4 linked regions of the Lytechinus pictus genome follow. The protein of the gene in region 2 binds, or shares a complex with, the protein of the main gene of each other region. Links are inferred from orthologs where the notes say so. Each region holds a gene or a part of one and is shown on either strand. Other genes may lie near its edges.

What was found.
Region 1: SWI/SNF complex subunit SMARCC2-like (region 2) and AT-rich interactive domain-containing protein 2-like share a complex: the UniProt entries of both Homo sapiens proteins name them as parts of the SWI/SNF-B (PBAF) chromatin remodeling complex. The link is inferred for Lytechinus pictus from reciprocal best matches to the Homo sapiens genes SMARCC2 and ARID2.
Region 3: SWI/SNF complex subunit SMARCC2-like (region 2) and SWI/SNF-related matrix-associated actin-dependent regulator of chromatin subfamily E member 1-like share a complex: the UniProt entries of both Homo sapiens proteins name them as parts of the BAF complex. The link is inferred for Lytechinus pictus from reciprocal best matches to the Homo sapiens genes SMARCC2 and SMARCE1.
Region 4: SWI/SNF complex subunit SMARCC2-like (region 2) and protein polybromo-1-like share a complex: the UniProt entries of both Homo sapiens proteins name them as parts of the SWI/SNF-B (PBAF) chromatin remodeling complex. The link is inferred for Lytechinus pictus from reciprocal best matches to the Homo sapiens genes SMARCC2 and PBRM1.

The regions. Positions count from the first base shown.
Region 1 is NC_087263.1:4,093,148-4,100,314, reverse strand, and holds the start of AT-rich interactive domain-containing protein 2-like, read left to right. Parts: upstream 1-4,142; 5' UTR 4,143-4,223; coding exon 4,224-4,461; intron 4,462-6,570; coding exon 6,571-6,708; intron 6,709-7,167. UniProt on the Homo sapiens protein: Involved in transcriptional activation and repression of select genes by chromatin remodeling (alteration of DNA-nucleosome topology). Required for the stability of the SWI/SNF chromatin remodeling complex SWI/SNF-B (PBAF).
Region 2 is NC_087247.1:25,345,063-25,352,158, forward strand, and holds the start of SWI/SNF complex subunit SMARCC2-like, read right to left. Parts: upstream 3,020-7,096; 5' UTR 2,967-3,019; coding exon 2,799-2,966; intron 1-2,798. UniProt on the Homo sapiens protein: Involved in transcriptional activation and repression of select genes by chromatin remodeling (alteration of DNA-nucleosome topology).
Region 3 is NC_087247.1:14,971,995-14,978,823, forward strand, and holds the start of SWI/SNF-related matrix-associated actin-dependent regulator of chromatin subfamily E member 1-like, read left to right. Parts: upstream 1-3,813; 5' UTR 3,814-3,938; intron 3,939-5,476; 5' UTR 5,477-5,494; coding exon 5,495-5,552; intron 5,553-6,829. UniProt on the Homo sapiens protein: Involved in transcriptional activation and repression of select genes by chromatin remodeling (alteration of DNA-nucleosome topology).
Region 4 is NC_087247.1:59,697,028-59,704,841, reverse strand, and holds the start of protein polybromo-1-like, read left to right. Parts: upstream 1-4,792; 5' UTR 4,793-4,808; coding exon 4,809-4,925; intron 4,926-5,976; coding exon 5,977-6,074; intron 6,075-6,866; coding exon 6,867-7,014; intron 7,015-7,814. UniProt on the Homo sapiens protein: Involved in transcriptional activation and repression of select genes by chromatin remodeling (alteration of DNA-nucleosome topology). Required for the stability of the SWI/SNF chromatin remodeling complex SWI/SNF-B (PBAF).

The sequences.
Region 1 (7,167 bases), on a different chromosome or scaffold from region 2:
AGAGTCTATCACAAGGTGAGGTGTTCTCTTTATGAGAGGACAAGTACAGAGGTTTCACAACATTATATCATTGATGAATCGTTTGTCATATGATTAGAATGAGCAAAAAGAGATGTTTTGGGGTATATTTTCAGTGTCCAAAAGGGGAGAGTTGTTCATCTGTGACATCATAGATCTTGGTCGCATTGCCAATGGGAGGATCTCCATAGCATTAGTGATCTCGACATTCAAATGCTCATAACTCTTCTATTGCTAGTCCTATTTTACTCAAACTTTTGTTGATCTTATTCTTTGATTTTTCTGCTTTCACAAAAGCTAACTTGCTCCAAGAGTTTCATTCTCCTTTAATAAAAATTGATAAAGATATATGGTTATGACAATCGGGTGACAATAAATTGACACTTAAATTTTTTTTTCTTTGTTAATTCATAAACACCAGATTGAGCGTCGCATAACAAACAAAAAAACACATACACACAAAAAAAAGGGATTCAAAAGGATTGAGAAGAATGGAGTAGAAAAAAAGGGTAGGGATCGAGGGAGAAGTGAGCTGAGATAGCGATAGAGTAGAAATTCAAGAGTGAGACATGGGTCAAATGGAAATATATCAACATCAAAAACGATAAAAAATAAAATATGAGGAAACAAGGGAAAAGAACACTGATTGTAATTAAGCATGAGTCAAGGACATTCGTGTTGCAATCAAATTAAGCCCTGTACGTCCTGTGTTTGTGTGACTGGATCGAGTGGTGGGAGAAAAAAAGGAGTTTATCATTCCTTATATCATAATGGCGGAAGAATGTTTGGCAATAATGCACTGAAAATATGATGAAATTAAATCATTCTGGTTGCAAACAAAGTAAGAGAATGACGATAAAGGAATGTAAGGAAATAAACAATAGGTCTGTTTTTTCCAGCCTCGGCGTCTCTTGCTTAATCTAGCCACCCCGCCCCCCTTTCTCTCCATTTTCTTTTGCTCTCTCTCTCTTGATCATTTCCCCCTCCATCTGTCTCTCGTATCTTTCGCTCTCTCCTTCTCTTGCTCGACTCTGTCCATTCTTATCTTGGATGCTCCATTTTCTTATAACTATTAACTACTTATCCCAGAAAGTACGTGATCTCATCTCGACCCGACTTTCATTCAACGAAGTTCAGAAAGATGTAAATTTGAGGGCGATGACACGAGCGTGCATTAAAATTGTGCACTCGCGCCAAGCTCAACAGCTCTATGATCTTTTTTTGTTTGGGTTTCGAGGAGACGGCATCTTACGGCAATAAGTTGTTGCATGCTGTACATCGTAATTTCGAGAGAGACATCGCGGCAAGTCAGCAGGGCTAATTCGAGCCATGAGAGTTGTCCAAATGGTGACATTTTATTAATTATCAAATCAATATCTCTTCGACAGAAGATCGTCCCTCCTTCTGCGGTATTATCGCGGTAATACACGAGATTTTCATTTAAAAATCTCGTGGTACATTACCGTGGTAATTTCTCTCAGAGCGCGACTCCCGCCGATGGAAATTTGCTGGTGGTAATCGCGCGCGACCCGATTTCACATCGACTTACGCGGTACAGGGCGGTAAAGCGTCAACTTTATTCCGAGCAATACTGTATGCTTCTCAAGATGAGGAATCACAAAAGATATTAAGAAGTAGAGGCATATGCACATCAAATAGAACTGCATGTGCTTAAGATTAAGAATGTACAAGTTTGGTTCCATTTCATCAATTTTGGACCATAGCTGGAATTTGTGAGCATATGATAAATTAGATTTTCCCAAAATGTATACATGTAAAAATGATATGAAAGTGGACAATGATTTTGGTCAATCTTACAGTTTTCTCCATACTAATATTGCACATGCAGTTATCATCCTTGTCCTCTATAAAAAGTCAGATTACATGTAATACCCCTTTCATAAACCCAATTATGCGGCTAATAGCAGCATAATTTGGTCGTAAAATCGGAGGAGGACCAGAGTTATCCGCATTATTCTGATGCTGCTATTATCCGCATAATAGCGGCATCGGGACAAGATTTTGAGTTTATGAATGTATTTCCAAATAATGCGGATAATTGCCATGGTGCGGTCACAAGGTCACCCTTTTCCAACACAACCGCATCGGAGGGGGCGTGTCATGACGATTATCCGCCTTTTTCAGGACGGACGCTCGTAAAAATAATGCGGATAATTTTCAGAGTTTGTGAACGCAATTTTTATTGAATTATCCGCATTACTATTAGGCGGCTAATTGGAGGATAGGTTTATGAAAGGGGTATGAGTGTATGAAGGTGCAACATTTTCCAATCCCGTAAAACTTGTGGAAACATGCATTTCGAATATTCAAGGTGTCTTTCCAAAGACCTCTCTTTCTCCATTATTAATATTGAAAAGGTTCACAAGTGATATTGATTGTAAAAATAGCAACATAAAACAATAGTCATTTGCTAATAGCATAGTAAGTTGTATGGTAGAGTGTGTTGATGCTAGCTACTTCTTGCCAATTTACATGACAGGAAGGAAATTACAGATCAGATGGTATCTTATATCACGGAGGGAACTTCCAATCTATTGGTTTTATTGCTGACCATGAAGCGAATTTTGATATTTCCATTCATATGTTGATTAGCATTCCGGCAGCTTGCAATACAAGTTAATAACTACACATGTTCATTTCAAAGTACCCTCTTAAAGGGAAATTTGCTATGTTGTATTGTTTGAAATAGGAGTTGTAAAGGAATTAAAGGGATGGTCCGGGCTGAAAATATTTGTATCTTAATACATTGAGTAGAATTCACTGAGCAAAATTCCAAAAAATTTCATCAAAAACGGATAAGAAAAAATAAAGTTATTGAAGTTTTAATTTTAGCAATATCTTGTGAAAACAGTCGTCATGAATATTCATTAGGTGGGCTAATGATGTCACATCTCCACTTTCCGTTTTCTTATGTTATTACATAAAATCATTTTTTTTTCATTATTTCATACTTGTGTGAATAATATGTCTCCCTTATAATGAAATAAGTTGCAGCAATAAATATCTAATGCACTAAATCAGTTGTCAATCCAATTTTTCTAGTTCTTGGAGGAAAAAAATTGAATAAACCTAATTTCATATAATGACATACAAAAGAACAAGTGGGGATGTGACGTCGGCCGACCTAATGAATATTCATGACGACTGTTTTCACAAAATATTGCGAAACTTTGAAATTCAATAACTTTGTTATCTGTTATCCGATTTTGATGAAATTTTCGGCATTTTGCTCAGTGAATTCTACTCTATTTATTAAGCTATAAATACTTTCAGCCCGGACCATCCCTTTAAGTGAAGGTTCTAGGAAATGCCAGACAAAAAAAAGGTGTGATTTGATAAAAAGAAGGAATTATTTTTTTGTTGAAATCTATAAATTAATGTTCCTGCTGTACAGAGGTTATGAATATAAAATTGTTACTGTTTTTTTACAATACAAGCCCCTCAACATCCCTTAACTGGGAGGCTGTTCACACTACGTTCCTAAAACTAGTTTAGTGGAAACTAGTTTAACGCGTAGTGAGAACGGTCGAAGCGATCTTCCAAACCGGTTTGGAAAACCACCTCGCGATGTAGTTTTCAAGATCGCTTTGCCTCGTTAAACTGGTTTTAGCGTAAGTGAGGACACAACCATTCTTCGGGAAGCGATCTTCGCACATTTTGAGCGCGCTACTCCACACGACAGGTGTAGAATGCCAATGCTGCGGTTTCAAATTTCGCGCGAAACATGTCACCCCTCTGAGAGCGTTTTCATAGCAACAAGAGCGCTTTACGTAAAGTGATTTTGAAAGCCACTTTCGTGTGATCAAGTGGGAACGCTAGCAAAGCGATCTTCCAAAGTGGTTTCCTGAATCGGTTTCCAGTAAGCTAGTTTTAGAAAGCGTAATGAGAACGGCCTCTGGTACTCTTTGCTATGTATAATATGCTTATTATTCCTGCAACAACTTCTAGTTTTAACCTTCAGTATACGTTTTTCTCATCTCACTATTTATTTTCATCCTTTTCTGACAGGGTTGTGATACAGTAGTAAAGGGGTTATTTCATCTTAAAAAGTCTTAGGTTTTTATTTTATTTTTGATCATTTTTAACTGTCTTAAATTATTTGAATCAATGTAAAGACACTTTCAATTGATAGCAAATGTACTGTAATTCAAAGCAAGTTGGTTTGAGAAACTGTCATTGTGAAAATGATATCTTCTTATGCAGACAAAATCAGACAGACACATGGCTTTGCCAAGGAGAAATGCAGGACGTCAGAGTACGACCGAATACTCCATTCTCTCCAATCTGGTCTCCCCAACGAAGTGGACTTCGCCATCAACATCTGCACGCTGCTCTCCAACGAAGGCAAGCACGTCATCCACTTGGAGAAAGCACCCATGTTCATTGACCTACTGCTCGCACATGCAGGCATCTTCTATGAAGGTATTAGAGATGATCTCCTGATATTTCAGGGATTCTTTTTTCTTTTAAATGGTTTTAGTGAAAGAAAAGTTTATTCCAAGACCCATATCACAAAGCTTAGTAATTTATCTATTGCCAACTCGTCCACTCATCACACGGTCTATCTTCATATAGTCTAATGCCATTCCTTCCATCAACATTTCGTCAACAGCCATTTGGTCTAATAACCATTTGGTCCAATCATCGCTTCGTCTAATCACCAATTCCTCTATGACTATTTCGTCTCCTAACCAGTTGGTCTGCTACCCATTTTATTTTCATTTATTTCACCCAATTAACACTTAGTCCAATTAGACCAGATGGTATATGGACTAAATGGCTATTAGACCAAGTGGCTATTAAAAGAAATGGCGAGTGGATGGAATGGAAACTAGACCATGTGGATATTGGACAAACTAATTGTAGCCAAATGATGGTAGACGAGTTGAGAATTGGACGAAGTGGCATTGGATCAATTGGAAGTTAACCGATTTATCATATAGATGATTTAGATGGTTGATTGATTGTAATGAAGCAGAAAAAATTCCTATGATTAAGCACTATGCTTTGTGTTAGATGGCCCCTGGCCCTGGGAAGTGTTTTATAAAGTGATTTGGGGAGAATTGATTGCATAGACCACAATGTACAATTGTTTGTGAAAATCACTCGCTATCGTTTGTGACACGGGACCCTGGCCTCCTTAAAGGAGAATCCAGTCCTGGTCATAATATGTTGTGTTTGAAAGGAGAAAAATAAATAAAACAGAATGGTGAAAGTTTGAAAGAAATCGGACAAGCAATAAGAAAGTTATGGCTGTTTTAAAATTGAGATCTCTAAGACTATGTAGATTTCAAATTGGCAGCTGGGTAAGTAAATTATGACAAGAGGCAAGGACAACTTTCCCATAGGCCATGTACTTTATTATCAGGGATTTGTGGTTTTCTCCCAAGTACCTATTCCCCTGGGGCTGTAATCTAAATATAGCCTAGGTAGTATATTGTTTTATGTCCTCATGAAAGAAAAATATAATTTGAGGTAAAACATTTGAAAAAAAAAATCAATTTTAGTCATTTTATGTATTGGAGTACATGGAAGAGTAGTCCTTGCCTTACATCACTTTGACATCACATTTGTTGCCAATTTGAAATCTCCACAGGTATAGTGATTACCAATATTCACAACTTTTTAAAATTCATAACTTTCCTATTGTTTGTCCGATATTGTTCAAACTTTCACCTATCAAATTGTCTGATTTTACTTTTTCCTCTAAAAGCAAGTTTTTATTTGGGTCTTTTAACCCTAAAATGGCCGGGGGGGGGGGTTGAATCAACCCCCCCCTCAACATTTTCTGCGATCATTCCGCCGCGCGAAATTTTTTGACCACGCCACTCGCAGAGTTTATACTTTTAAGTCTCGCGCATCTTTTGAGACCAAATTTACGACGCCCGGGTACGCGGTTCCGAAATTACGCAACATTTTGTAAGTGCATGTCAGACCAAAAATTGTTCCAAAACGTGATTTTGTGTACAAAGTCAATGCAAATTGAGTTTTCTCATCTTATTCATAAAGATATGATTATTTTTACTTTAAACAGCTGAAAGCAATTGACTTAAGCATAAGTATGCTTCAAAAAGGTTGTGCAATAAATCTGGTGAAAAAAACAAAGAAAAACAAAAGGTTGAAAAACAAAGAAATACATAAGAAATTCATAAAACAATAAAATACATAAAAAATTGATTTCCAAACCAAAGTTTTTTTCAATTGCCATTGTTAAGAATGCTACAAAGAATATTTTTACCAAAAATTAGCATTCTAGGAGCTTTATTTAGTGAATTAGAGCAAAAAGTATGATTTATGCATAAATTAGCATAATTAATTAATATAAAATAAAATCTCATTATTTTGGAAAATTTTACCATACAGCCTTGTAGATTACATCGCACGCTACCAGCGTGCAAATTTTTGTGGCGCTCGCGCGATCGGTGGCCGAGATCTCAGGGGGGGGTTGAATCAACCCCCCCCCCGGCCACAGAACAGCCAAAAAAGCCCGGCCTAGTTAGGGTTAAGATACGAGTTTCATTTTTTTCTCAGGACCTGGAAGTTTGAGGAAGCTATACGAAGAAGACTGGGTGGAGAAAACGAGAAGAAAATTTGTACAGTTCTGGTATGACACCATCAGTGACAAAGAAGTCAGGGAGGTGATCGGTCCAGGATCTAAAAAACCAGAAGGTAAATATCATCACTTTGTATAGTAATAAGATACTTCTACCAACCAATGATTTTATGGGAAAGCTATCGTATGATCATCCCAGTAAATTGATATTTTTTCTCGCCTGAACAAAACACTTACAGTTAAACACATCCTCATTGAATGTGCTGATTTTGCACATATTCGTACTAACTTTTATGATGTTCCTGACCTTAAGACATTATTTAGAGATATTTCACGATTATGTATTGTAAGGGTGCGTTTATCCGCCACTTTTTTACCCTAGAATCATGATCTGAATCATGATTCAAATCATAATTCTGCAGAATCACGATTGCGTTTAGTCGAAATTGAATATAATCATGATTAGAATCACAAACATGAAACACGAAAAAAGGGGCGTTTGGAAAGACGTTTCTGCAGAATCACGTACGAAAATGTTCGAATAAACGATATCGTGATTTGAATCATGATTATAT
Region 2 (7,096 bases):
CAAGATTATCTTTCCATTCAAAAAACAGATATGTCATGAATCTTTATCAATTTTGAGATTATTTGATAACATATCATACAACACAGTCAGTAGAGGCGCACGGCCAATATAGGAGACTGTCTCCTATGAGAGAGATTCTCTAAATAAAAATGTGATAAGCAGATTCCTCATGAAAAATTACCCATTTTCACCGTCTACTTTAAAAATTCACCGTCTACTTTTGTTTTGATAAGGATTTTTGTTGTCATCCACACACAAAACAAATGGGCTTCTGACCTCAGTGAGACAAAATTCTGGGTGGAAAAAATTACGCTTTTGTTGGTGTCGTTTCTTTTGTTCTTTTACAAAGCAAGTCTCCCATATTGGAGAGTCTCCCGGCATTGGCCGTGCGCCTCTACTGACAGTATGCTCCGGGAACAAGCATGTACACATAAAATATTATACATCATATTGATATGATTATGTTTCCACCTCAAAACTGTTTGCCGATCTTTATGAATCTTTTGAGACTAAATATAAGGAATGTGATTTTCTATTTACTGGTAAATAAAAATGGAAAATTTGTCTTGGTTCTTTATTTGTCATGAGAAAATTCAATATATTTACACAATGTACCTTGGCTACAAAATGCTTTGCATGTTTTCTACAGTATAATGAAACAGAATTTCCCTTAGAGATTAACTCATCTGTTCATTAAGCAGTAGAAGTGCACGGCCAATATGGAAGACTGTCTCCCATGAGAGAGATTATCTCCAATATCAGAGACTTTTGTAAAGAATTTGGGTATCCAATTTCAGAGACAGTCTCCAGTTTGGGAGACCAATTTCCTTTGTTTACATTTGCTGCAAAAGGATTACCTTGGCGGCAAATAAAAATGTGATAAGCAGATTCCTCATGAAAAATTACCCCTTTTCACCGTCTACTTTAAAAATTCACCATCTACTTTTGTTTTGATAAGGATTTTTGTTGTCATCAACACACAAAACAAATGGGCTTCTGACCTCAGCGAGACAAAATTTTTGATGGAAAAAAATATGCTTTTGTTGGTGTTGTTTCTTTTGTTCTTTTGTAAAGCAAGTTTCCAATATGGGAGATTGTCTCCCCTATTGGATAGAGTCTCCCATATTGGCCGTGCGCCTCTACTGTTAAGTTTGAAACGGAATTACAAATTTTCAGAAACAGAAAAGATCATTAAAAAAAACAGAACACTGTAACTACCATTATTATGTCTATTATTACATATTATTCCAGGGCACTCTGTCTTTTCGAAGACCATGTTACACCCTAAATTTTATTATCAATCATGTTTCCATCTCAAAATCTTCATTCATTTCTGCCGACAACTGACAAGTATACTAGTACTACTCAAGTACTATTATTACATTCGCTCCATCCAAATAATATGTCAACATCTTCTTTAGACCAAAAGCTTCAGTCTCTGTATTTTGGTTGTTCCGCTGAACTACGTTGGCTCCACTCACCATACATAGACTGAAGGGGATGGGGCCCCGTACCTACAGCCAACGTATAGTGAACTAGCGTTTTATAGATCGCGATTTAAAACTGTTTTTTAAGCAAAATTGAAAGTTTCATGGTTTCCATTATCAGGGAAATATAAAAAACTTAAGTAATTGCATACCTTGGGCCGGAGTTATTGAAAAAAATCCTCTGGATGATTGAGAAATCTGTCATCTAAGACATTTTCACCTGACCTGACGGTTTTTCTTGCAAGTTGCCATCTTGAATGACGTCATTATCGTTATTAACTTAATGTCTCGAATCGATATATCGCGATTATAACTAGTACTAGTACTAGTATAAGTAGTATCGTTTATCTTCGGTTTCGTTCGCATATGGAGCAGATCGTATAATATCGAAAGCAATATCGATATCACATTCGTGATTGTTGACGTTCGTTTGTAAATATTTTATAGTGTGGCTGCCATTTTGACCATTTTTATCGTGTTCAACCCAATTAAACATCGGTAAAGTATATTTTTCATGCCTTTTTCATCTATATCGTTTAAAGTATTTAAACATTTAAATATCAACTTTTAAAAGTTTGTTGTTTATACATCCTTAGATTGTAAATTCGATGTGTAAAATTACATCAAACTTTGGACTGTGAATTGACAAAAGGGAGGGAATGAGAACACATGCGAGCCCACACGTACACCCTACCGTCGGTAAATGGGGATTACAGTAAAATGTCAGAAATTGTTGAATAAATCCCCAGAAACGACGGTTATTCCTGTCTACATCTTCTTGTGCACACAGCTGCCAACAAATTCCCTTTTTTTTTTTTATCAATGTCAGATCTATTCTAGCCTGTTAACAGAAAATTAACAATATCTTTTTTTGCTGATTCAATTTTGATTGTTTGAAATTGAATCACTGACTTGTGACTTTGTCTTTGTGTTGAATTTGAACTGCGGAATCTAACTATATTTTTCACATTAAATAAAAGACAGAGACACAACATAGGAATAGATGAGAGAATGAATTACAATTCCTCTTGATACATTTAGCTGAAAATGACCGCAAATGTCAGCTATGTTGGAAAACTCGCCATAAAATAAAGACTCGGTCTCGGGTTCAGCTTAGCCTTACTAGGGCTCCAGGCAAGCCCAGGCACAGGCCTTGGCTCCGGGGCGCTGCCGCCATGGCCGCGGCGCGGCGAAGCAAGTAGAATTCGCAGCCGCACACGAATTATCTCAGACTCGGAAAAGGTACGGTAGTTTGATCGAGCATTATATTGACTGTAATATGACAATTTCTGGCCCCTAAACAATACTCACCCTCTTGCAATTTCTTTGAAGCCATGATTTCACATTATCAAGCTGGGAAGCAATGTCAGCGGACTCAAAAAACTTGAAATCAGCACCACCGTCCTTCTTTCGGATAGCCATCTTTTGTCTTTCTCGTCTTTTGTACACCCGCAATAATTGAACGAAACTGTCGTTCATTTTTGAGCGGCATGGAGCTGGTGGTCAAGTTTTGCGTTGCCAATTTTATTACTAACAGGTATTTTAAAATGATTGCTGCTCGCATGCCAGTAAATCAAAAAAGTAAAATAACAAAGGATAGCCTTATTCTTAATTGTAACAGAGAAAAATTTATTACATTCAAACATGACAAATCTTCAATGTAGATCTTCATAAAAGTTGAGGAACTCGGTAGGCCTATAGCAAGAAAAATGTGGAGCAGATCGGCCCCGAGATCGGCCTACTGAAAAGACAATTGTCAGCATAGGCGGATCCAGGGGGGGGGGGGGGGCCCAAGGGGCCCGGCCCCCCCCCTATTGGCGGAGCAAAAAAAAAGGAAAGAAAGAAAAAACAGGGGGAAAAGGAGGGAAAAGAGGAGAAAAAGAAGAGGATTAAGATGAGTTGATAAAATAAGATGAGGGGAAGACTTAATTGGAAAAAGCTTTCATGTCACTCATGGTATAAAAATTTCGCTCGCGCTTCGCGCTCGCATTGCCTGTTAGGTGATTTTCATATCTTGTTCAATATGAAGTTTAAAAATCAAGTTTGGAAGTCAATATACAAAACATATTTCACCTCGGAAATCGAACTTTCATTATTTTGTGTGATTTACAAATTGTTTTTAAAAAGTGCTTTGTAAAGATGTCAGTTTTATGGTCTAAAATATTAACATTTTCTGCTCGTGCTGCGCGCTCGCAAATTTTGATTTATCAGGTACCTATTATTTTTGTGTATTCCATTAAATTTTCAAAATATTCTTTTCAGGTCTGAAAGTCAAAACGTATCAGCTAGCGCTGCACGCTCGCATTTTGATCGGCGAGTTATGTATATGTCGCAATATTGATTATACAACAAACTATACTTTAAATCCCCTTTTCATGACAGTTCATCAAAAACTTTGGCTCGCGATTTGTGCTCGCATTAATGGTTAAAATATATTAACTTGATGCATCTTATTTATAATTACACAAGTGCTTGAAATGTCCAGTTTTCAGGCCATAATATCATCAGATTTTGCGTCCTCAGGCGTTAATGAATAAGACATTAATTTAATGATTAAATTGTCCATTTTGTTTCATCTCGCACTTAGCAAGAGGAATAGGAAGACAGTTATCATTTTGATATGCATTTCCTAAGGATGTCCCGGTCCTATGTTAAAACTCAAAGTAATAATAATTAAAATATCAGCTCTTTATTAAGTGCGATCCATATCCACCTCACAATTTTCCTACAAAGTGCTTGAAATATAGAGCTGAAATTGACTGTTTTTTCAGATCGGAATATTAAATAGTTTAAACTCGCGCTTCGCGCTCGCTTTGATTTTCATAATAAAAGATGTATTAAGAATGCCTAGATTCAATATCTAAATATGAAACACGCGCGCGTATTCAGATAGTCAACTTGTTCTCTATTTAAATCATTATCCAGTTTCAGATCACCGTAAATATCAAAAATTTTCTGCTCACGCTTTGTGCTCGCATTATTAATGTAGGTAGACCCCTACTCATTCTTTCATGATTTACAAAACATGAATAGTGTCCCGTTTGTAGGTCTAAATCTCGATTTTTCCGCACGCGCTTCGCGTTCACATCAATTGTTTAATTATAATCCTGTTCACGATTACAAAAATTGATTAAAATGTTACATTCTTTATGTAGAAAAGTAAAAAATTTTCAGCTCGCGCTTCGCTCTCGCATTATTTGATTGTTGAAATATGTAACGTCTTCATGCCTAAGTGCAAGCAGTCCTTAACAGGTACATTTTCGATCTGTTCAAAACGTATATAAAAAAATTCTGCTCGCGCTCTGCGCTCGCATTATTAATGTAAGGAAGATCCCCACTTGCATCCTTTTCATGATTTACAAAACCTGAATAGAGTGTCATGTTCAGTAGGTTTAAATCTCGAATTTTTCCGCTCGCGCTTCGCGTTCGCATCATTATTGTTTACTTATATACCTATTCTGTTTAAGTTACAAAAAGTGCTTCCATTTCTTAGGTAAATTTGTCATAAAATTTCAGCTTGCGCTTCGCGCTCGCATTATTTGATTTTTAAAATATGTAGCGTCTTCATGGCTAACTGCAATATTTAACAATACCTTTTCCATCAGTTCGTTTCTGCTCGCGCTTCACGGTCGTAGTAATTTTTCATTTGCATACACATCTTTTTCAGGATAACAAACATTGCCCAGAATGTTCAAGAACTTAGAAAAAAAACCCACAATATTTCCCCCAAAAAATAGCTCGCGCTTCGCGCTCGCATTGTATAAATAAGGATTATGGTATTATATATTTATGTTTATTCATAAGAATAAAGCTAAGAAGTGACTATTAGGACTACCCCTTCAAAGAAACAAAAAAATCCCGGCAAAAATCATCTTCGAGCGGCCGATCGGGGAAAATATTGCTGGAAAAAATCCGGCCCCCCCCCCTATTGGCGAAGGCTGGATCCGTCTCTGGTCAGGTTATGTTCCCCAATGTGCCAAGCCTCTAGCACTAGTAATCTAGTATATTCAAATTCTCATTAAAACATAAACTATAACCCCCTTTACAAAAATTGAAACTCAGTTGTACATAAAAATAAACACACGTACGGAACACGGCGCAATTGTGAGAGCCAGCATAGAGACCATTATGTCTATATAGTGAAGGCTCTCATATCATGGACCTATAGGTCCATGCTCATATCAAACTCCAGCAGGGGCCAGTAGGCCTATATTCAGATGTTCGAGAAGATTCATACAAGGATGTTTAGCCAAGGCAAAGTGATATGAATTATGAATTAACTTATCCGGGGGACTTATAAAAGGGATGGCCCGGGCTGAAATATTTATATCTTAATACATAGAGTAGAATTCACTGAGCAAAATGCCGAAAATTCCATCAAAAACGGATCACAAATAATAAAGTTATTGAAGTTTAAAGTTTACCAATATTTTGTGAAAATAGTCGTCATGAATATTCATTAGGTGGGCCGATGATGTCCCACTTTCTTATGTTATTACATAAAATCATAATTTTTTCATTATTTCATACTTGTGTGAATAACTTCTCCTTATAATGAAATAAGTTTCATCAATAAATATTTTATGCACTAAGTCAGTTGTCAATCCAATTTTTCTAGTTCTTGGAGGAAAAAAATTGAATAAACCTAATTTCATATAATAAAATACAAAAGAACAAGTTGGGATGTGACATCATCAGCCCACCTAATGAATATTCATGACGACTGTTTTCACAAAATATTGCTAAACTTTAAAATTCAATAACTTTGTTATTTGTTATCCGATTTTGATGAAATTTTCGGCATTTTGCTAAGTGATCTTCTACTCTATTTATTAAGTTATAACCACTTTCAGCCCAGACCATCCCTTTAAGTACGAAATCTAAAATAGTTGTGAAATATAGGGAGGATCAGCAAGCCATGCACGAAGCCAAAAGATAAAAAACAGCAATAAAATTTGAAATGAATGGTGAAATCAAGATAGGGCCTACTTTCTTTAGTGGAGGAAGTTAAAATTCATGGTGATAATTTACTAATGGAAGACGAAATGACAAACATGACTGGTTATATAATCGAAATGAGAAGTAATATTTTCTCCCTTTTATTTTCTGAAGACTTGTATTTTATTTTTGCACTTGTCTCCACTTTAAGTATGAGCCTTATTTTTTCTTCCAATGGACATTTATTTACTCGCTAAAAAGGACTATTTCAAATAGGGCCTATTGACAGAAAGAGTTCATCTAATTCCTATACTTTTTTCATCTCTCCACTCATTTGTGTATTTCTTCTTTTCCGCAAGCGGACCGTATATTAATTTTCACGGTTTGTTTATTTGTTTTTATTTCTGCATAAATTGATAGTCGTAATTACAAAACGAGGTTGTACATTTCGTTAAGGGAAGTCCACTCCAACAAATAAAAATCAACACTGAACATCATCTAAATCGGATGTAATGAAATTTTTGAGGAGGGTTATTTAAATAAAATATATATCGGATTTCCTTTATATTGCACCGTGAGGCGTGAGCAAAGAAATGAAGTGTCTTTTTTTTTTTTGCTGTTTCTGTTGGCAAACGCGGGGACTGGGGGCGGGGCAACCGCAGAACCCTGCC
Region 3 (6,829 bases), about 10 Mb from region 2:
TATTTATAAGAAGACCTAAATCTTGAATTTATATTTTATATATATAAAAGGTGTGATTTTCTTCGGCAAATTATATGATATATTACAGTCTGGCATACATAAATGCTTCTGATGACCACTTCGCTTCGTGGTCATCAGATGAGGTTACACGTCCCACATGCTCGCACTGTTACTTATCAGAAAACTTTTATTCCTGATGCCATTAGACTGTGGAATATTCTCCCTGCCATTACAGTTAACTGCACTTCGGTAGCTATAGCTTCAAGGCTGAGGTGCAGAAAATCCAATTGCGCTAAGACTGCGCTGATTTTTTTTTTTTTTTTTTTAATTCTACACGGTACGATGATACACCAACCTGGTGGACTGTACGGATGATGATGATAAAATAATGTTGGAACGAAAAGAGATTACGATGGGGAGAATGAGGAAGCAAGGGCTGATGGAAAAGAAAGGGTATATGGTATAGGTTAGGAAGTAGAGAGGAAAAAGGTGAGAGGGGAATATAGATAAAGAGGAAGAGAGGGGGGTGAAGTATAAGGAAAAGGCCCGGGGAAAAGGGAAGTGGAATCAGTCCTTACGCCAACCTGAACAGCATAATAATGCCAGGAAAATTTATAGCAAATAATTATCTCTGGATGTCCAACAATCATATTGGGGAAATTGGAAATTCAGAATGAGAATGAAGTGGAATGAAATAAATTCGTTATCAATCAATCAATCAATCAAGTGTCATGTCGGTCCACTGTTGCTCACTCTTTGCATTGTAGATCACGTATGATCCAATTAGTGCTAATTAATTTACTCATTGTAAGGATAACATCTTTGTATTTCCTTGAACTGTCTTAACTTGCTGTTATTGTCTCTATTAACCACCCTTCTACTTCCGACTTCAAAACATATTAGATGCGACTCATAATTCTTAGATAATGATGTCCCTATTCAGTTGAACGTACCTCACTTCCTTTCATTCTCTCACCAATGATTACCAAGATATTGACTGATTATGATGATTTATGAAATAATTTATTGAAAAAAAATGAATGTTTGGTTGATCACATCGCACATTGAATGAGTTGATTTATTAATTAATTGTTGATTAAAAATTAATGATTGATAGGTAAGGTTGATTCCCCAATTCAGAATTTATCATCAAGTCAACATCCTGCTCTGGACTTCATGCGTACATGTAATAGCAATCAGTCTCTCAACAGGAGGTGAGGGCGGGAGAGAGGGAGGGGGGGGGGCTAAATGTTCTGTTGACCCTTCCATCAACCTCTTCTCCCACTCGAGTCCTATCTCATCCCCTATATTCTCCCGACTCTCATGATCACATTGCTGAGATCCACGTGATAAAGTTGAAATGCTGCCCCAAATTAAGTGCAATTTGTGTTCACTCATGAAATTTGCTTAACAACAAAACTAGTCACGGTTGATCATAAATTTATCACAACACCCTTAACCCTAAAAGGACTGGGCTATTTGAGACGTATCAGGGGTGGATCCAGCCTTCGCCAATTGGGGGGCGGAATTTTTTTCAGCCACATTTTCCCCGATCGGCCGCTCGAAGTTGATTTTTGTTTGTTTCTTTGAAGGGGTATATAGTCCTAAAAGTCACACAAGCTTTAATCTTATAAATCAACGTATATATATATAATAATCTCATAAACCTTTTAAAAAAGAGCGAGCGCGAAGCACGAGCTATTTTTTTAAATTATTTTTCATTTCATATATTTTGTCCTAAAATTAAAACATTCTGGGCTATGTTTTTTTTTATCCTAAACGAGATGTGTATCCAACTAAATAATTAATATACGTTTTGATCTGATAAAAAAAATCTGTTAACAGCTGCTTGCAGTTAGCTATGAAGACGTTACATAATAATATTGTTTCAACAATCAAATAATGCGAACGCGAAGCGCGAGCTGAAAATTTTGACATTTTCTACCTGAAGAATAAAAATTCTAAGCACATTTTGTAATCATGAAAAGAATAAGTATATAACTCAACCAAAAAAAAAAAAAGACATTTACACCTAAAAATGGGACACTCTATTCATGTTTTGTAAATCATGAAAAGGATGAGTAAAGCGAGCGCGAAGCGCGAGCTTAAAATATTTGATATTCCGATCTGAAAAAGGGTCAATTTAAGCTCTGTATTTCAAGCACTTTGTAGAAAAATGGTGAGGTGGATATGGATCACTGTTAAAGGAGAATGAAACCCTTGAAACCAGCTGAATCCATATCAAAGAGAAAAATCAAAGAAACATATTGTTGAAAGTTTGAGGAAGATTGAATGAATAATAAGAAAGTTATGAGCATTCGAATATTGAGATCACTAGTGCCATGTAGATCCTCCCAACGGCAATGCGACCAAGATCTGTGATATCACACACGTACAACTCCCTCATTACTTTAGTACTTATTTCACTTATATTCTCACTTTTATAGAGTCTATCACAAGGTGAGGTGTTTTCTTTATGAGATGACAAGTACAGAGGTTTCACAACATTATATCATTGATGAATCGTTTGTCATATGATTAGAATGAGCAAAAAGAGATGTTTTGGGGTATATTTTCAGTGTCCAAATGGGAGAGTTGTACGTGTGTGACATCACAGATCTTGGTCGCATTGCCAATGGGAGGATCTCCATAGCATTAGTGATCTCGACATTCAAATGCTCATAACTCTTTTATTGCTAGTCCTATTTTACTCAAAGTTTTGTTGATCTTATTCTTTGATTTTGCTGCTTTCACAAAAGCTAACTTGCTCCAAGAGTTTCATTCTCCTTTAAATAAGAGCTGATGTGTTTCATTGTTATCATTTGAGTTTTGACATAAGACCGGGACATTCTGAGAACATTACTGTCATCATGTGAATGATAACTACCTTCCTATTTCCCTCCTAAGCGCGAGATGACACTTTTCGATATTCCATTCTGAAAAAGGGACAATTAATTTGATTATTAATATTATATTAATCTTATTTATTAATCTAATAAGCCTAATGAGAGCGTGAAATCTGTTAATATTATGGCCTGAAAACTGTACATTTAATGCACTTTTGTAATTATGAATAAGATGCATGTGTGAATAAAATTATTTTCAACAATCAATACGAGCGCAAATCGCGAGCCATAATTTTGATAAATTGTCATGAAATGGCAATTTAAGTAGTTTGTTATATAGAATTAATATTCGCTGATGTGGTTTACGTACGGTACACCATGTGGAGTATTATAGAAACAGTGGATAGAAGAAGAAAAAATAAAAAGAAAAAAGAAAAAAGAAAAGAAATGGATAGGCGAGAAAGTGGAAATTTGAGAGTAGAGTAATCTTTCTTGAATGTAGTCCTGAAAAGGACTGTAAACCAAAAGATAAGTTGAAACAGCTTATATACTCCGGTATACGAGTGTAGGATTGGAGCTGTGATTTTCTTCATTTCTTTTCTCTGTCATCTCCATCCTATAGGTTTACTTGCATACTAGTAGACCTATATATCTAACATATTTTCAGTAAAAGCCCTGGTTTTAATTTTTGAGACACACCTTCTCGACTTTAAATCCTTGTAGATAACCTAAAAATAAAAAAAAAATAATAATAAAAATAAATAGAAAAGAAAAAGAAGAGAAAAAGAAAAAAAAAGAATAAGAAAGAAATATTTGAATATTACTTTATAAAAAAAAAAATCAAAGAAAATAACGTTAATAATACAATATTTATGATGGCGAAAATAGTCAAATTGACTGATTGCCAAATAAAAAGAAGAACCCCCCCCCCCCTCTCTGTTTTGATCCTCCGATCTTCTTGGAAAATAAAACTAAATTGCCGTCTGAAAATTAGACTACATCGGGGAAGAATCTGCCGGAAAAAACTAAACTTGCCGTAAAAGACTTCTTTTTTTTCCACATTTGGGAGAAAACATATTGTTCTTGCTGTAGGTAAGTATATGTGTAATTCTATTCATTGTTAAGCAAACCTAAAATTGTTTTGATTTTATTGTGTGATGATGTAAAAAATGAAAATTATAAATAACAAATCTTTTTCTACTGTGCCATTTTGCTTTCTTTGTTCAGCAAGGCATCGCGTCGCCGCTTTGGTCCCCAGCACTTCCCGCATAGCGTCGCATGCAGACGTGGAAGTTCAAAGCGCCCTGCGTCGCGGGCTCGGCGATTAGTAAATAACGTGCAAGGAAGGTCGCCATGGCATGCTGGCGCTGATGCAGTTTCGCACCGGCCACTTTCAAACAACAAATTTCCCCACCAGTACCGTAAGTAACGGACTATAAACCGCACCCCCAACTACTTTGGACTAAAAAGAAAAAAAAAAAAAAAAAATCCTCACATTATATTTGAGGTACGAAGAAACAAAAACTAAGTCTAAGTTAAAGATTTCAAAGTATCCAAAGAGATTACCGGTATGCAGAAATCTGCTGTTCTTGATTGATTCATCTACAAATGTTTGCAAGAAAGAAAGGTCCCTACAATATTGGCCACTTACACAGTCACGGTGTACACACACACAGCACTGCCGTTCTTGTACATTGCAAACTACGATACGGTACCAGTGTCAGTACATCTTATCAAATAATGATCTGTGTCTTTCCCGCCGTAGGAGGAAGAAACATTCACATTTCTTGCATCACAAACTCACAATCACTTTCAGAATTTGTCTAGTATTCGATGTCTTGGCATGAATTTTGGATACGGGATTACAGGAAGGTTCAAGAAACAAAGAAATTGTCATTTTTTACAGTTGTTTTGACGGCTTCGTGCCGTCTCTCTCGTTGCGTGGTGTAGGTGGTATCTTATGAAAAGCAAACAGGAAAGAAAAAATAAGCTGGCGCGAAACGGGACTTTGGAGGGGATCGAGGGTTAAAATGAATAGCGCCAGCTTAAGTCGCACTGAAACCACAATACAATGCAAGCTAGCTCAGCTAACTCAACTCTTGCGCTCGATCAGCTGTGACAAAATATTACCGAGTATGCTTGGCTTCTCTTTGAACTTAGCCAGGGAACTTCGCTGCTTTGAACCGAGAATAAATTCGAAATTAGTGTCATGAAGGTGGGTGCGTTTGTTATAATCGCTTCTCATTACCCACAGCTCATTCCCCTCTAAACGACATTGCCCTGGGCGGCTACGCCTGGCCACTCGATGTGTTGTGAACTGGCAGAGGGGTTACGACGGGCTGGCTCAGACCCGTCACCGTGGATAAACCGCACCCCCGACTTTTGCTTCTATCCCGCCGAGAAAAAGGTGCGGTTAATAGACCGTTACTTACGGTTATTGCTTGCTCATGTCCTTGTCATCAGCTGTGCTGATGGTGATCGAGCGATCAAAGAAGAACCTGGCTGATCCTGATCTGTTTGTCTTCAAAATTCGCTTTCTTCTGGCATTACACAGGCCTATATGTAATTGTGCTAACCATTGATTGGTAAATATGAATGATCATAGATCCTGTTATATTTTTTTTTCATAGGTGGTTAGAACAATCAAGATGTCTGGAGCTTCCAGAAGGAGTATGGGAGGGTTTATGAATACATCCCTTCAATCCTGTAAGTGTTTGGCATGAAAATCATCTTTCTTGCAAGTGTGTAATTAGGTTTTTACAGATAAATTTTAATGTACATGTATGTACACCAGGGTCCTTTTTAAAAAAGAAATCTATTTTTATGAATTTGTCAGATCAATGGCACTTTGGCTTTCAACCAGTCTTATGAGGTGTTGCAAGAAACTTGTGATCAATTGCAATTCAATTTTTGGTCCCCAATCAATCATAAGTCTTGCAATTAATTACAAGTTTGTGATTGATTGCTATGCTAATCTGCTTCCTGAAAAAAAGAGTGTAATCTGATTTGCTACAGCTAAACTTGATCTATCAATTGTAAAATTAGAACAGAATATTTGCAAGTGATCGCAAATATTTTCTTGCAACACCCCCTTATAATGAAGATGAAGGAAGATGAGATGTACAGTTCGTATGTACTTATTAACCCTAAATAGACTGGGCTATTTCGACGCCTAAGAAGACTAAGCTGATTTGGTATAAAACATAAAGTCTTTTGTAACTCAAAACCAATCTGACTGGAGTTCTCAAGTGAACCTTTTTTATCACAGTCAAATCAAGACTATAGCCAGACAGTTGTTGGACAGCCTTAAATAATAATCTGTATGTTATAACTTGATTCTGAATTGGGGGAGTGGACAATTTAGTGAGAAGGGGGAATGTAGTAAATAAGAAACCCATAAAATGAGTGTGCATCAGAGGTTTAGCTAGAAGAAAAATGAGTAATACTTTCTAAAGAAAGTTGGAATTGGTAAACATATAGTTTCCTGTTATACTTCCTGCAGAAGAATTGATTAAGTATTAATTACATACATGTATATGTAGGTATTGATATATCAATGAATATGTGAGATATCACATAACACAATGATCATCAGTATTTTCAGAGTAACAGGACTCAGCAGCTAAAATATATGAAGGTTTCCATGGTAGTAGTTGAAATCCATGGCCTGGAATGGCCACTTCTTGGCTTAATTTGCATCCTCATTATACCAAAGTTACCTTGATCATTCATAATTAATAAAACGGTCCCCTTGGACCATGTGACAGATGTGACCTGTTTCAAAACTTCGCAGATTGAGTTTAAAAGCTTCCAAATGAATTCTTATTAAAATTGATTTACCTTTTTTTTTTTGGGGGGGGGGGTGGTAAATAACAGTGAGGAATTGAAGTGAACATGTATCTAAAAAAATATACATATGTCAAATCAATTATATGTTTTAATTTTTATGTCTGTGTGTATGAGTATTGTAAATCTGTTTTATC
Region 4 (7,814 bases), about 34 Mb from region 2:
GGAAGGAAGGAAAAAAGAAAGAAAGAAAGAAAGAAAGAGGGAATGTGAACGAATGGGTGAAGGAGAGAGAGAAAAAATGGAAAGAAAAGAGATGAATGGAGAAGAAAGAAAGAATAAAGGAAAGAAAAAAAAAGGTTTCCTTCATTCTTTGAAATTAATAAAGAAAAAGGGAAAGAAAAGAATGGAAAGAAATAAAAAAGCCGGAGGGAAAAGAAAGTAAGAAAAAGGGAAGAATGAGAGAATGAAGAAAAAAGATTTCCTGCATTTTTTGAAAGAAAGAAAAGAAAATAAAGAAAGAAAGAAAGGGGAATTTCAGGAAGGAAGGAAATAGCAAAAAAGGAAAGAAAGAATAAGGAAAAAGAGAAGGAAAGAAGAAAATAAAGAATTTAAAAAAGGATAAAACTTTAGTGGAAGGAAAGAATGAAGTGAAGAGAGAATTAAAAAAAGAAGAAAATAATGGCAGAAGGAAAAGACAGAACAAAAAGAAAAAGGAGAGGAAGGGAAAAGGAAGCAAAGAAAAATTAGAGGAAAGAAAAAATGAAGAAATTTAAAGAAAGAAGGAAAGTACATGTAAGAAAACAAAGGAAACAAAGAATAATGAACAGAGAGAGAAAAAAAAAAGATCAGGAAAGAAAGCTAGGAAAGATTGAAAAGATAGATGGAACAAAAAAAGGCAATCGGGAAAGATAGAAGAAAGGATAGAAAAGAAAGAAAGAAAAGAAAAAGAAAGAAAGAAAGAAAGAAAGGAAGTAAGGATTAAGGAAGGAAGGAAGGAAGAAAAAGAAAGAAAGAGGAAGAAAGCTCAAATTTGAAACAAAACAAAAAATGCAATCATCTAACAAAAATCTTGCTGATATTTGTTTGAAATATATTTTAAAAATTGTTGGAAAAATAAAAGTTTTAGAAATTAAAAACATTTCACAGAGAAACATTGACAAACTTAAAAATCAAATGAATCATCGCGGCATCGTGGATTTGCACGCATCTTTCTTCCCACTACACCGATCAAAACACTCAAAACAACGGCCGAAACTGGTTATGAAAACTCAATAACTTGCTCCTCCGATCACATCACCAAATCAGTAATCTGAGAATCCATATAAGTATAACAATTTTTCGCCGATTTTGTGATTATTTTGTTGGAAAAACTATTTTTCATGTGAGCTTGGTCACTTTGATTCGGAGTTTGATCGGGGATAGTACAGGTATGCACAGCAGCATGGAGATCCATGCATGCCTGCCACATAGGCTGGAATCTGAGCTGGACGCACCAGCCACATGTATGTATGCTGACTGTGTGTGTGTTTTTGTGTGTAGATCACAAAAAATGTCGCAAACTGGCTTGCAATTTGAATTGAGGGAGGTTGTTAACTTTGTTTTTTTTCTCTCTCTCTTCTGTATTTTTGAGTGTGAAGTATGGGGAAACTTTGTAAAATTTCATTTCACAGTGAAAATTTTGCTTGCCCGATTCGGGCAAGTAGTTTTTGTCTTTACTTCAAAACACTTGCCCGACTCTAACTTTTACTTCCCCCGGGCAATCGGGCAAGCGCTTATGTCGCACCCTGTCTTAGAATATTTCTGGTATTTTCTGAGAGTGAGAGTTTATCATCAATTGATTGTGTACTTAAGAGTGTATCATGAGTTGGATTTTCAAGTAAACTTGTGTCATCAATCAACTGTATTTAGGGGTGGCAATAACGATTCTGGAACATCTTTTGTATCTTGAATTCTTACATTAGCTCTAACGTGTTGCTGGGAACACCTCACAACGGATTGACTGAATATAAGCACCAATGCATTTACAATACTGACACATTTACAATAACTAACATATTTACAATCACATTTGTATGGAAAGTCATTTACTTTTTTGACTGTTGACTATCACCCAATGGGGGAAAGCCAGATGGACCCCGCATTATCATGATATCATGAAGACCTTTTTGGAAGTTGATCTTCAATAAAAAAATCCTCACAGTTCATACAAAATCAGCTTTAATCAACATAATTGTATGGGCCTAACCTTAGTGATTGACTACTTGATAGACCTAGCTTATTATGATTACCGAACACGAGCATCACACGCGTCAGAAAATAATTTCAATAGACCTTATCGCAAATAGATTCACGCAAAGTATCGCGGGATCGAAAAGGGGGCATTAGCGCCGCTATTGTGTATGATTTCAGTGTATGATTTCCATCTTGTATCAAACTACGATCGATGCCCGCAGATAACATTTTGCTAACTTCCAGTAAACGCCTCGTCATATTTGTTCCAGAATCTAATATCACTTTTCTTCTTAATCATGGGTGGCTGAGATAGATGTGCTGTCAATTACTGTAAGAATATCATGAAGACAAGTGCAATTTTTTTTTAATTTTTGTGCACTGTCTGTGGGTGATTCTGAGCTGTGCAGCTGTGACTGAGCAAAATGCTCTTCGTATGCACAGACTGCGGACTGTCTTGCACTCTCAGCCCAGTATGCCAGCGAGGTGGAGGAAAGTCCCGGAAGCAAAATAAGCTATTGGGCATTTTCACTCTAACTGATGTTACATGGCACAATTTTTCACACCTTTCATTGTGTGTATCTCCAAAACAACAATTGATGGGAGTTTGCTTTTGATAGAGTCAATAAAGTGAACCTTGCTTTATACTCTGATACTAAGTTTTTCTGTGTAACCACATTTTTTTACGCATCAGCAAGCAAAAATGTGTCGGTAACTGACGTTACGCAAAAAATACATGCAATTTCAGGGTGTTCAGTAAAATTGAAATATCCCGTGTCCCTGAGTAGATAGAGTAATAATTTGAATATGTAAATATACCTCTGTTACTAGGTTAAGATATGTCAAAATATAGAATAATTTGTTTTTGTCTTTTTAGGGCTATGATAATTTTTCCACGACCATGCTGGTAACTGACGTTAGCCTACACTTAATTTGCCATAGAGATAACACATGGAAGTCAAATGTGTGGAATCATTGCATTGTATCTTCTGTGCAGGGCTTCACATGAAAGTGAGCTTGATGTGGAAGTATACCTGAGTTTTTAGGAACATTTCAATGATTCCTTTTCTTTGACTTGAACATTTTTATTATTACTTGTTGGTAACTGACATTACACATTAACATTTATCAGTGCTATATTAAGCTAATAGGTTCGGAAAAGTACCCCCTCCCCCTCAAAAAAAAAAAACAATTATATACTTAGTAAGTACATGTACGTATGCAAAACAATTTCAGTGTATTTTTTTGCACAATGGGAATGCAACTTCCTTCATAATTTTATTTAGTATTCCTTGTGAACTACACTGTACCTTTTAAAAGTCAATAGCAAGCTCCTTCTGGTGTGATTTAAACTAAGTGAAAGACTTAAATAACAAGTACATGTATACAATATTTCTTCACATAAAATTGACCACATTTGCATTTCACTATTGGTAACCAACATTTTATCATGGTAACTGACATTACATCTCGGTAACTGACATTACATTTTCCACTTGGTAACTGACGTTACATTTTCCACTTGGTAACTGACGTTACACATATTTAATGGTACCCTATCATCCTATGGCTTGATTGTTAATTGATTATCTTTAATTTTGGTGTAGAAGGGAGGGGTGTTACCTAAGGAGGAAATCTACCAAGTTTCATATAATATATCCTCTTTTCTGGGAAATGAGAAAAAAAATCATGTTTTTGGTAACTGACGTTACATACCCTATCACATACTTCATCAATATTTCTTTATCAGACAAATTAATTACTGGTGTTTCTTTCTAGATGGGATTTGATAAAGTGTTATAATAGCAAGCTAAGGCAAAGGGAAAACATGATCAAACCTGTTCTTTAAAAATCTGTCAAAACAAAATATGTATCAATATACCATTTTCAACACTAATTTGTATGCATACTTTGGCGGCCATTTTGAAATAAAAAATGGCTGCCAGAGTCGGAAAAAAAAATTGTCCCAGAAACTTCAGGTCTTGTATTATTATAAAACATAATTCATTTGACATGAATATCAATTTGATTTTTTTGCCTCTGTGTCCATCTGTGGTGAAAATGCCCTAATGATCATCAAGAAACACATAAACTTTGCCGTAGATTTTATTACTTTATTTTAAGTTCTATATTTTTAGATGGTAATATATCAATCGATTGTCAAGAATACATGTTTTATAAGGCTTTTATAAATAATAATCTTCATCATGATTTCATTCAGATTAGTGTTTTCTTTTTCTCTCCGCAGATACAAATAAATTATTTACACCAGAAAATTAAATGTTTAATAGAGTTTGACTTTGATATTTTTTAGGCCTACTAGATCAACTACATCATAAAAATGTGTTTTTATTTGATTAATTGATTTAATAATTATACTGCATATATATATATATATATATATATATATATTATGTGCTCGCTAAGCCCCAGCGACACTCTTCTTTAAAAATGTATTTGGTATTCTCTGTTTGTCTTTTGTTCATCCTTCCTTTGTATACATTATATTTGTTGTGATTTGATATGTGCTTATATTGTAAATTGTTTTTACGTTTTTATGGAAATGTGGAAAAATACACCTTGAACTTTGAAATGTTAATGAAGGTGCATTTCCATATTTGCTCTTCACTGTTCTTCGTTGTTAATTATAAATCTTAGTCCTGGAACTTTTTCAAAATTTTGTTGTAAATTTGTTTATGCTCAAAATTTTTATTGGTAATCAGGATCCTCTGTGTTTTGATCTTTCAATATTTCTTTTGTTTTGTCTTACATGAAACAAAGAAGAATATATCTTAAGAAGTATGTCAAAGCGAAGAAGGTCAACCACTACTGATGTTAAAGATGATGATGATCTCCACACTTCTCCAACGTCTGTTGCTATCAAAAGAAGAAAGAGGTCCGTCAATGTCAATGATGCTGTAAGTATATGATTTCATCTTGAAGTATGATCTGTCAAAGCTTCATGGAGGTACGGATATTCTTTATTTAGTTTATTTGTTTCTTTGTTAACAATAACAATTTGATGAATATTTAATTGTTTGTTTCCAAAAGTGGAAGAGATGTCCGTGGCTATCTAGACTCATAAGCCCGTATTCTGAAGTAGAGTTTTACTTAGACCATGGTCCAACCCTGTAGTAATATTATGGGAAGCCAAAAATATTGTTTACATTGTATTTTTCTCATGTTTACCATGTTCTCTCTTAATTCTTTAATGGTGAAGGCAACTATGCTATTTACCCTCTCTGTTAAGAATGTTTTGAGAGTAAAATGAGCTAATAATTTGAACCTCTACTGTTTATGTCACATTTGTCTATCCATAGTTAAACCACAACTTAGACCAGAATACAGGTAATAGTCCCAATTCTCATGTCACATATTCATTTAATGACACACTTGCAGTCCAGCTGTTTGCAGTCTCACCTTTTTCCTCCTTTTCAATGTTTTTCCCGAAAGAATATCTTCCTTAAAATATCAAGATGGGAATATATTTTTTTCAGTCCTTCCACCCTTTATATAGAGTACCGTACTGGGAAGTGTCGCATAGCCAAATGCCTTTTCTGATGGCAGTCAAGGAAATTTGACATAAGAACAAACTTGATTTTTTCTCACCCAAAGTTTGCTTTAAATACTCAGGAAGTGTTCCTTTTTTAATGTCATTCAAGCTTGCTGTACAGCTTGTAAACTTAATATGAATATCCTTAAATTTATGGTTTATAGTGAGGTTCTCCTTTATAAGTTCATATTTAATGTAGTCCAATTTCATGGAAATGTGCTTTCCACCAGCATTACAAACATATGAAACACACATAGGATGCGAAAACATAGAAAAAAGATGGTGAACAATTATACAATACATTTAAAACAGACAAACAAAAGTATGATTATAAAGGAATTTATATTATTCATCCTACAAATGCGAAATTACAGCGTGAAAAATTTATATATTTGATTTTTTTTTTTAAAATACAGGGTGAAGTAATTCAGGAGTTATATGACATCATCAGAAACTACAAGAATGAAGATGGTAGAGTTATATGTGAAGCTCTTATCAGAATTCCCAAAAGGAGGTAAATATAATGAGTTCCTGATATTAAATTTATTATATCACTGGTTCTATCTTTTAGTGAAAGCGGTGAACATATCTGCAAATTAACTACATTGCTTTATAAGAAAAGGTTACATTTAATTTCTTTGAAAAATCCTCATTTTAATGTTGACTGTCTATTGACATGAACAGTTGTTTCGGTGTAGAAGAGCTTATTTAATTGTTTGATTTTGAAGTGTCTCAAGTTGTATAACAGTATATGGCCTGTTTTTTAAAGATAATTCATAATAGCGTTACCATGAATAAGACATTTGTGTGAAGTTCTCTTGGATTGAAACTAGAACAACTTTAAGATGAATGAGGGAACTGATGACAGCACTCACTCACTTTTTCTTTTGTATTTTATTATAAGAAATATGAAATACGTGTATTCTTATTTTCTCCTCTTTGTCCTGTGAAACAAAGTTTTATTTCTCACTGAACATGTGGAATTACCAATGTTTAACGTTATATGGTTCTGTCGAGTTGGTCCTTATTGTCAAATCTATAAAAATTGAAATATTGTATAATTCAAACAATAAAAAACAAGAAATAGTGAGTGAGGGACATCATCGATTTTCTCATTTGCATGTGACTAAATTTTGCATATAACTATTTTGTGAAAAATAAGCCAAACTTTGAAATGTCATAACTTTCTTATTTTACATCCGATTTTGATGAAATTTTCAGCATTATGCTTGTCTAATTTTTTTCTTTTGATTCAAATCAACATTTTTATGAGGTGGATGAGCATTTCATATGTCTATTTTGACAGGACTACACCAGAATATTATGAAGTGGTTTCTAACCCCATTGATATGCTGAAGATTCAGCAGCGTATGAAAACAGAAGAATACGACACAGTGGATGAAATGGTGGCTGATGTTGAGCTCATGGTTAATAATGCACAGGCTTACTATGAGGTAAGATATTTACATTTTACTGAAAACTAGATGAGAGTTTGTTAAATGAGATGTCAGAACTTCCCTTTCTGGATGATTTAAGAATTTGACAACTTGTTTATTTTGTTTTTTCCTTATATTAGGGTGATTGCATACACGGCTAAAACAAGTTTTAAAACCCTGCTTCCCACACAAAGCCCGATGCAACTTGTTTGTGCTCATGTGTTTCAGCTGTATTTATGTTGTACCACATTTATACTACAGACCATATTGCAGAACTTTTCAAAATTGATGTGGTTATTATTAAACTGGATAAATATTAATTTTGTGCTATTGTGCAACAAAAAATTCACAAAAATTCTCAAGGTCTCCATTCTTATATCCCATTGTTAGATTTTCATTAGGTAAAAAGGCTCTGAGAGGTATGAGAAAAAAATAAAGAAACTGAGTAATGTGTTTATACATTATTCAAGAATACATTTTGTCATACATCCTTGATTCTTGATCCGATATTCTGTGACAGTTTTCAGTACTGTACAAGCTGTTATTTTCGCGTACAGAAATTTTCGCGAATTGCGGGGGTCCCGACATTTTCCACGTACGTGCAGTCGCCGCTGGCTAACGTCAGCTTAATGGACGACGCCATACTGCCAGATTTGGCCCGCGCCCTCACCGGCTAACGCTCGAACGCCATTCATCCATACACTAATTCCTCTTGATTACCGTTGATAAAAACCTCGTTCAAATCTTTTCCAGAGTTCCTATGAATTAGTGATGGATGTTTTTCCGTTAATCAAATATCTTTTATTATACCAATATTT